Linked DNA regions of Bombyx mori. The protein of the gene in region 3 interacts with the protein of the main gene of each other region in a biochemical or structural test. Links are inferred from orthologs where the notes say so. Each region holds a gene or a part of one and is shown on either strand. Other genes may lie near its edges. The genes, in order: Ubc13, ubiquitin-conjugating enzyme E2 C and ubiquitin-like modifier-activating enzyme 1.

Evidence for each region.
Region 1: of the proteins of ubiquitin-like modifier-activating enzyme 1 (region 3) and Ubc13, one has a biochemical effect on the other in vitro, tested with the Homo sapiens proteins (10 studies listed by BioGRID, with this or other methods). The link is inferred for Bombyx mori from reciprocal best matches to the Homo sapiens genes UBA1 and UBE2N.
Region 2: of the proteins of ubiquitin-like modifier-activating enzyme 1 (region 3) and ubiquitin-conjugating enzyme E2 C, one has a biochemical effect on the other in vitro, tested with the Homo sapiens proteins (5 studies listed by BioGRID, with this or other methods). The link is inferred for Bombyx mori from reciprocal best matches to the Homo sapiens genes UBA1 and UBE2C.

Annotation. Positions count from the first base shown.
Region 1 is NC_085111.1:2,343,655-2,346,576, reverse strand, and holds Ubc13 (ubiquitin conjugating enzyme E2), read right to left. Parts: upstream 1,885-2,922; 5' UTR 1,659-1,884; coding exon 1,203-1,658; 3' UTR 523-1,202; downstream 1-522. UniProt on the Homo sapiens protein: The UBE2V1-UBE2N and UBE2V2-UBE2N heterodimers catalyze the synthesis of non-canonical 'Lys-63'-linked polyubiquitin chains. This type of polyubiquitination does not lead to protein degradation by the proteasome.
Region 2 is NC_085126.1:12,142,907-12,146,675, forward strand, and holds the start of ubiquitin-conjugating enzyme E2 C, read right to left. Parts: upstream 2,593-3,769; 5' UTR 2,348-2,592; coding exon 2,247-2,347; intron 334-2,246; coding exon 1-333. UniProt on the Homo sapiens protein: Accepts ubiquitin from the E1 complex and catalyzes its covalent attachment to other proteins. In vitro catalyzes 'Lys-11'- and 'Lys-48'-linked polyubiquitination.
Region 3 is NC_085114.1:15,610,752-15,613,431, forward strand, and holds part of ubiquitin-like modifier-activating enzyme 1, read left to right. Parts: coding exon 1-94; intron 95-868; coding exon 869-1,044; intron 1,045-1,555; coding exon 1,556-1,777; intron 1,778-2,128; coding exon 2,129-2,380; intron 2,381-2,680. UniProt on the Homo sapiens protein: Catalyzes the first step in ubiquitin conjugation to mark cellular proteins for degradation through the ubiquitin-proteasome system.

The DNA.
Region 1 (2,922 bases), on a different chromosome or scaffold from region 3:
GAGCTATTGGTGGCTTACGACCAATATGTCATCACGGTTGCTTAATTCAATATGAAACAATCATTCAATCAACATTTCTGATATTACATTTTCGTTAAGTTGCAATGACAACTGTTCAGTTAACTTGTGTCTTTACTTAAATTTCAATGAACTAACAAACCTATACCCACTGACTGATCAATGGATAAGCACTTTATTTCTAGTTGAAATTCAGAGGTGTAGAGGTGAATTCAAAAAGATGTTAATTTTTCAAAGTTTGTTTTGTAACTGTTGTTGATAGATTCTTTAAACGTAATGACAACCATCATGCCTATTGATGCCATAAAGCAATCACCCTTTACTTAGAAGAGTTTGATAGCCATTGGTCCAATGTATTCAATATTATAAGAGCATGTTGCAAGGTATCAACGCGATTCCAGTAAATGCTTTTAATTTGTAAATTGCTACTTGAGTTTGGCCCTTATTTTAATTTAATGAATCCTATTTTGTGATGGTATTGCACTAAAAATAAAATATGGGTTAGCTTTTTGTATTTCATGTATTTTGAAGTTGCTCACGAAGCCAAATTAAAAATTTACATAAATACAATTTATTTTGATAATTTTTATACAAGACGTAAATAGTACAACATAAGATTCACTGTGAAATCATGTTCGATGTGGTTAATAAAGTGAAAATTATACCTAAATGCAATCATTGTTCTATAAAAAAAAAAACAAAAAACATTTCAATGAGAGATCAGTTAAATGATGTTACAATCAAATTTTAGTAAGACTGTGTCCGATAAGTCTCTGGCATAGATAATCAAACTTTGCAAATTGAAACTATCTTCTGTACAAAATTAATTTTAAACCAGCATAATATATACATTGAAGACTCCAGGTATATTTTCTTTATTCACTATTCATATTAATAGTAAAAAAATATGCATACCTAATATTGTAACCAAGCTACATGTGAATGGGTAAACAATGATCTGTGGGATCGCCTAGCCGTTCCGAGGCGAACAAGGTGAGGCAATGGATAACTGCAAAGGGACCGGCGCCGCGGCCCTCATCCACTAATAATAAAAATTTGATCCACAATAGTCTCTCACAAGTTACTCTGTTTAGGATGTGTAACATAACTTGCACTCATAAGTCGTGATATCTCGTTGGTCGTGTGGCGCGCACGGTCGGCACCGGTGCTCTCGTGCCGGCTATTCAGTTGTCCATGGCGTATCTCCGCGTCCACTCCTTCGCGTTCCTAATAGCTTCACTCTCGTTCACCTTCCACAATTCGGCAACGTCGTTCGCCAGCGGATCGTCAGGGTTAGGTGCTGACAGCAGAGCCTGAATAGACAGTAGCACCGTGCGTATTTGTAGAGCTGGACTCCATTTATCTTTAAGAATGTCCAAACAAATGCGGCCCAGTCGGTCTATATTAGGATGATATATTTTCGTGATAAACCTAACCTTAGGTGCCGACATGGGGTAATCCTCCGGTAGAAATAATTCTAATTTGAACAGTCCTCCTTCGAAAGGCGAGTCCTCTGGGCCCGTCACGATAACGTGGAAGTAACGGGCGTTTGTCTCGCTAGGTACTGCGCTGATCCCGGGCACCGGCTCCTGCATCAATCGCTGTGTCTCTTTGATTATTCTACGTGGTAGGGCTGCCATTTTAAATATGCGGTCGAGCGCAGTTTGTCAAATGGAAGCGATTACTCATATAATTGTATAAAATATCTAATTATATTAGCACTGAATGTGTTAACGACGCTTGTTGAGGCACGTTTCCTTATATTAATGAATTACAATAGCATTTTATCTACGAAATTGCAATAAACGCGACTACAAAAGCGAGTGTTCTTTAGTTTTTTTTAACCACAGATAATATAGATTTTCACCAACATAGACAAAATGTAGAATTTAGAATAGGGTGCGTTCAATATAGATGTCTGGAAAAAAGCCTTTTAAATAAACATGCATTAGTTTAAGACAACAAAAACAAATTGTTTATTAAAAGAATAAAATTCTGTACTAGGTTGAGTACCTGGGACTGAATAGGAATCACACAACATTGTTATACAACTTGTGCCGTGTTTGAAGCCTGCTAAAACTAACTTGTCTTGTTATACAGACTTCAATCTATTTAGAAGAAGGCGCAAAAGAGCTTATGAAAAAAAAGGGAAGAATGAAAGATGTCAGTAATAGAAAAATAGTAGAGAGGAAGAACTGTATTCAGCCCTTAATATAAAATCCAAACAGGAAAGCGTGTTTAATTGAAGAGAACCTACATGAAAGTTGTTAAAACTGTTTCGAAAGTTTCGGAACTTGTTTTTTATTATATTTGTGTTTTATATGCTTCTGAATCTTACGTTTCTACCGAGAGTGAATGGCGCACATGATTTTTTAAAAATGAGAGTTACAGGCTGTTCAAAATTTTATGAAACGTATATTTTTTATTCAGCTGACAGAAAATGATAAATGTGAAAAACGTAGGCTCGTAAACAAATTAGTATTTATTATGAACCTATTGTGAAAATGTTATTTTAATGAACAGATCTAAATAAAATCACTTAGGACCGCGGTCAGCGACATCTAATACAGTTTTAAAAATGACGTGATGTCAGCTACTCGTCAACAGATGTCTAATTTTGTTTCATTAAATTTAGAACATCTATGTGTAGAATCTTCAGTATTAAGACAAATTCTCGTTATCAATGACAAATAAGGTTATTATATCATCGATATATTATAGACATATTATATTTAACTTAACTATCTTAATATGGTTGTTTAATATTTATATGACTTAAGTTACAAGGAACACAATAATAGTATGAGTTACCTAAGTGAAAAAGATTAACTTTTTTTTTTTTTTTCCTACCTAAGCTGATAGCCCTAGCGGCTATGTCAGCGTAACCCTAACTTTAGTAGGTGA
Region 2 (3,769 bases), on a different chromosome or scaffold from region 3:
TGTGTATTTGGTTCTGCTAAAAGACTTTGGATTGACAACAATACTGTACGTACATCATATAAAGCCGTCCACTTATCTTTTAAAATATCTAAACATATTAAACCACACGTGTCAACATTTGGATGAAAACACGGAGTCATAAATTTGACAACAGGTGGTGCGTACGGGTATGAATTTGGAAATTCAAGTGATAATTTGTATTTGTGGCCTGCGTATACAGTTTCTAAAGGTCCATTGATGGTCCCGATCCATTTGAAGAGGTTTTCACTTTCAGGGAATGCTGATATTCCTTTATCACTGCACCGCATTAGCTCCATTAGCTCTTTCTGGAGTCTATTAAAAAGAAATATAAAATGAGTTGAATTATGCAAATTATAACACAAAAGTAATGGCATATAGTGTTTTTTTTAAGTGCATTAATCTAATAGCAGGTTTATTAATTAAGTAGTGAGTCTTTGAAACATTTCTAATGAAATGTTAGTTGACCAGTAATGACATAAAATTTCTGTTTTTGCAGAATTATTGTTTGGTAAATAGGATGCTGCCATATGTGGAATGACTGATGTTGTAGTGTGAGTGTAAATTTTATATCACTTGCAATATTTTCTGGGTGGAGGTATATTCATTCACATGGTAGTAATTGTTCTAGAGAAGTAATTCTATATAAACAATTTACATTTAAGAATCTCACAAATTAGAAAGCGTCTAAAGGTCTAAGGCTCTTGATGCTATTTAATGTAGAAAAGGTGACTAATTAACAAACCTTTTTAAAAAGTTTACTTATTCCTACCTACTGAACATTAATTATTGTAAAATTATCGCTTTAACCAATGAGAATGCCTATACCTGCTAAAAACTGTGCTTTTAAATTTACCACATTATGTAAAGTGTAATAGTTTTATTTGGTTTTTACTTTTTCGGCGCTTTTGTATTACATGCACTAAATGATCATTTACATAATGTGCTTAAAACAGCCCAAACCAACAATAATGCAAGTGAACAGAATAATCGAGACTTTTTCGTGGGAAAAAAACCGTTAGACACAAATCGCTACTTCGATACTAAGGACCAAAATATATTGTATTTAGACATGTGTAAGTAATGCGAGTGATATTACTCGGGTAATATTACTCTACGATGTAATGCAACATCACACATTACGCGAAGGAAACAAACATCACACTATCACCCAACATGTTTCTTTCTTTGTCGTGTAATACACGAACGGAACCGAGCGAGCGAGACAGACCGATCGACGCAAAATAAATGAGCAAGCGACACGGAATTATTCCTAGTGATTTTGAACCATATGTCCTGGCCGCTAGGTACATTTTTATACCTATGGTACGTCTGAATTTTAATATAGGTATTTGTGTTTATATTTTTCATGCGGCCAGCCGGTAGCTCCCCGCAAGTACTTACTTAATTTTTTATTCGCAACTTTTGTAAAATCGCTAGTCGCTCGTAATTGTTTAGTAATATTTCATATTAATTTTTGTGTTTGATTTGAATTACTTAAGCACTTGTTTGAAGATAGTTTTATTATTTGTTTTAATGCGTGTTTAATAAGTGAAAGAAATAACGGCGTTTAGACGTACGTTCATTTAGATGAAAGTACAGTCCTCCTTGGATTTTTGAGGATATTTTTGAGGATATCGCACCGAAACAATGCATCTACTGCTCTCGTATATTAACATTATTGTCGAGCTCAATTTGCAGTCTAAGTCGCCATATGAAATCCGTTCATCCCACAATAAATTATATTAAGTAAAAAATAAAATTATTATATTATTAAGTAAGTCAATCTGTCAAGTAATATAACAGTGTATTACAATACAAAGTTCATACTTTGTATTGTAATACACTATTGTAATGACACACCCGAATCATTACCTAAGTGATGTGTTTATACACATCACTTAGGTAATGATTGATGAAAACATTACACATCACTCTTAACATTACTCGGTGCGTTCAATAGATACTGTGACGACGAATACATTGTATCTATACACCCGAATCATTACCTAAGTGATGTGTTTATACACATCACTTTGAACGCACCGAGTAATGTTAAGAGTGATGTGTAATGTTTTCGAGTAATATCACCTATCTGTAAAAGTGATGTCATATCACATTACATTGGGAAGTGATGTTTTGCGCAAGTCTAATTGTATTGTATGTTGTCTACGTGGGTGTTTGCCGTGGTATTACGAAAAAGTTGTGGTAAAAATAATAAAACTCACCGTTTGCTCACAGCATGATTGTCTTTTAGTTTAATCGTGTCTTCACTCTGCTTAGCTGGGTTCGAAGACGACGCGTAATGTGGATTGATGTTTTGAGCCATAATATTTTAAGGAAATCAAATGAACACTTTCTTAAAATAGCAAGGGACACCAATTTTTCAGTTAATCGTCGTCAACTTCCTGTTGAATTTGAAATAGCTACGATTTTATTGGTAATCTCGTTATTTGACAGTGCAATGTAATGGCGGCCTTTGTTTGATTGACGTATTAAAAAGCGCCATCTACACGGTCAATTGAAAAAATAATTTAATGCTGATTTACACTAATCTCGAATATGTTAGAAGGTGGTCTGAAATAAACCATAATAAATATGTTAAATAGGTCAAATCAAGATAAATAACTGAACATTATAGTTTTAAACATAAGATTATCCGAATATACTATAACATGTGGATAAAATAATTTCATGTCACAAATAATTTCAAAATGATAATCGCTTTCAAAATTTAGATTTCATTTACCCGCTTTTTTAAATTTGGCCTAGTACTTTTTATGTGACGATGAAATTTTAAACGTATTAATTTTTGCCTAATACAATGTGCCCGATAAAGTTAAAAAATTGTTTGCGCATTTTAAATGTAATAGTACCTGTATGCTATTTTAAATAGGATTACTAGAATAAAAGAGGCGATTAGGTAGGTATTGATTTTTTTAGTTCTGTTTGTTTGTTCTGTTTAAGTTTAGATAAATATGTCCAAATGAAAAATTAAGATTAGCCAGAGTAATATTCGATTAGTTTACTAGACAATTTCATTTTGAAACATTTTATTATTTCATCTTATTAATTACATATCTCATTTCATTTTATCATTACCTAGTCTTCGTAATTACTGGTACGTAGAGAGTGAGCCTGCACGGATAGCTACCTGCTATTTGAGTCATGATAATCCCTAGCTATTTAAGTCATGATGTGTCTTGGTTTGAAATGGGATAGCAACTCTACAACACAATTGTAAGTATTCCAAGCTGGGTAGAGTGGCATTCACGTCGGGTGCTTATGGGTTTTGAGTGAGCTGTGAATTCCTCCAACTATAAAGTACAAAAATATCTGTAGTGGAGGCGGTAATCCGAACAACATGGCGCGTTTTTGTTTATTCATATTTTGGTGGGAAAGTGAGTTTCTACTTCAAAGTGAAGGAGCTACTCAAAGCCCATGGCTACAGCTAGACTTAAATTATACTAACTTCAGTTAATGGTTAGCTTGAGCGACGACTAACCAACGAATAAATGTAAACTTATAATTAGATTAGTATTTATTAACTATATTATTATACAAATCTCTATATCTTTCGCTTTCTATGTTTAAAAATTAACACATTGTCTTAATATAAATAATGGCAATTAACTGTAGATGCTCGTTGAGCTCGTCGAAGAGTTCGGCATGAGATTTAGGTGGCCTATAACTTCAGGCCGCGGCTGTGCCGAGTTTCAAGCATAATATTCTCAGGGGTTTGCGAATCTGA
Region 3 (2,680 bases):
TGCAAACCAGTCGGTTCACGATATGATGGACAGGTAGCTGTTTTTGGTAGAGAATTCCAAAAGAAACTTGGACAGCTGAAGTATTTTATTGTGGGTGAGTATCTGGGACTCTGAACACTTTTAAAAGGATTGATTGATTGACACGTGAGGAGAATGATAATTATTGTCATTCTCCTTATGTGCAAGACTATTCTGGAGTGAAAGGCTCCCATGGTCAACTGATATCTATTCTAGTCTTAATTTATATCACACACTGTATTTTTAATCTGCAAACAAATATTGTTACCATCCCTTGGAACTTGACAAAATTTTCTAGCATCAGTTATTCTGTAAATATGTTATGCTGTTTGGGAAATTGCAACATAAAGTAATAAGTAATTAAAAGTAAAAAGTAAGACTGACGTCGTTGGTCGTCGACTATCGCCTCGACGACCCGTCGGTCGGGCGTCCTCGGGGTGGCGCCGCGTGTCTGGTTGTAGTGTTGACCGCGGGAACCCCCCTACTCTGACCGGGTTTTGACCCCAGACGGAGATCGGACGCCAGGTGTAAGAGTGCAGGGGAGTCGTTTAGTGGGTGGGCCCGCGGTCTGCTCTCAACACCTGCAGATCGTTGAGTCTCACATACCCCGCGCGCCCCCTAGGCGCGGGGACCTCGTAGGAGGTTCGGCCCTCGGCCAGGAAAAAAAAAAAAAAAAAAGGGTTTCACACTCAACTTTATGGAACCTGTGTGCTCTCTTACATATATGGAACATAAATAATTCTGTAAACTCAAGATTGGTAATTTACTAATGAATAATAGTCAATATGAACTATCTGTATGAAGCTACACAAAATATTAGTATAGTATCATATGAAGTTTATCTCTTCAGGTGCTGGTGCTATCGGATGTGAATTATTAAAGAACTTTGCCATGATTGGTGTGGGTGCTGATGGAGGACAAATTACAGTCACGGATATGGACCTCATTGAGAAGTCTAACCTCAACAGGCAGTTCTTGTTTAGGCCTTATGATGTACAGAAACCGAAATCTAGTACTGCAGCTAATGTAAGTTGCTGGATTCGTAATGACATTTGAGATCACTTGTGTACTGCTATAGAGAGCACAAGAGTAGCCATCTACACAGGGTTTGCTTCGAGATTACTCCCTGAACCAGTGAATTTCAGTTTAGTTTCAAATTCAATGTATAAATGTTTTTGCTCGCCTAAGTTTTAATGTTTCCCTAGTTGGTTTCAGATATTACACAATATATATTTTTTTTACTTTATTGCTTATATGTGTGGACGAGCTCGCAGCCCACCTGGTGTTAAGTGGTTACTGGAGCTCATAGACATCTACAACGTAAATGCACCACCCACCTTGACATATAAGTTCTAAGTTCTTAGTATAGTTACAACGGCTGCCCCACCCTTCAAACCGAAACGCATTACTGCTTCACGGCAGAAATAGGCAGGGTGTTGGTACCTACGCGTGCGGAGACACAAGAGGTTCTACCACCAGTAACTATAAATATATACTGTAATACTCAAATACTTTTAATATATTTTTTTTGTCATAGGTAATTAAACGCATGAATCCAGCAGTAAATGTTTTGGCACAAGAAAACAGAGTTTGCCCTGAGACCGAGTCCGTCTACAATGATGCATTCTTTGAAGCATTGGATGGTGTAGCCAATGCACTCGACAATGTCGACGCCCGTATATACATGGACAGACGGTGTGTGTATTATAGAAAACCTTTATTGGAGAGTGGCACTCTTGGAACTAAAGGAAATACACAGGTTAGTAAAATCAAAAGCATTTGAGATACAATTTGAAATAACATGAAACGTTGAATAAAATTAATTGGTTAATGATCAAATATAAATTAGAACCCTAAGAGAAAATAATAGTTATGAATTGATTTAACGTTGTCTAGTACTTATACTGGAAACACAAAGATTTTTAAGTATCATTAACTATTCAAACTTGGTAAATTAAAAAAAAGTTGTTTTGATACTGATATCTGAATCTTCACAATCTTTTAAACATAAATCAATAATATTTCATAATATATAAGTAAAGAAAATATTAAGCAAGATATAATCATATCAAAAGAAATAACATTAATACATCAGTAATTTACGTTTTAGGTGGTTGTTCCATTCCTTACGGAATCTTACAGCTCATCCCAGGACCCTCCCGAGAAGAGTATTCCTATTTGTACGCTCAAGAACTTCCCGAATGCCATTGAACACACACTACAATGGGCTCGCGATGAATTCGAAGGTTTATTCCGTCAGGCTGCTGAGCATGCTGCCCAATACTTGCAGGACCCGAATTTCTTGGACCGCTGTCTTAAATTGCCTGGTACTCAGCCTTTGGATGCTATTGAGAGTGTGCGAGTAAGTGTATATAACATATTTTTTATTACTCGTAGTAAACATACTGTCTACCTAATAACCTGATCACTGCCCTTCAATACAGCTATGCAAGAGTAACGACTATATTAAAGTACTACGCCTTCTCTCATTCAATGTTTCCTAATATCAGTTAACATGCACAGACAAATTTTAGAATGAAAACCCTTCCAAAATGTTTTCCTGTTACTATGAAGTAAAAGGTTGTAGGGGAATGATACCCCGCCCTGCTTAGCTGCTTGCTATGTATTTATAGTAATGAGCAACATACGTTAGTCAGTCAGT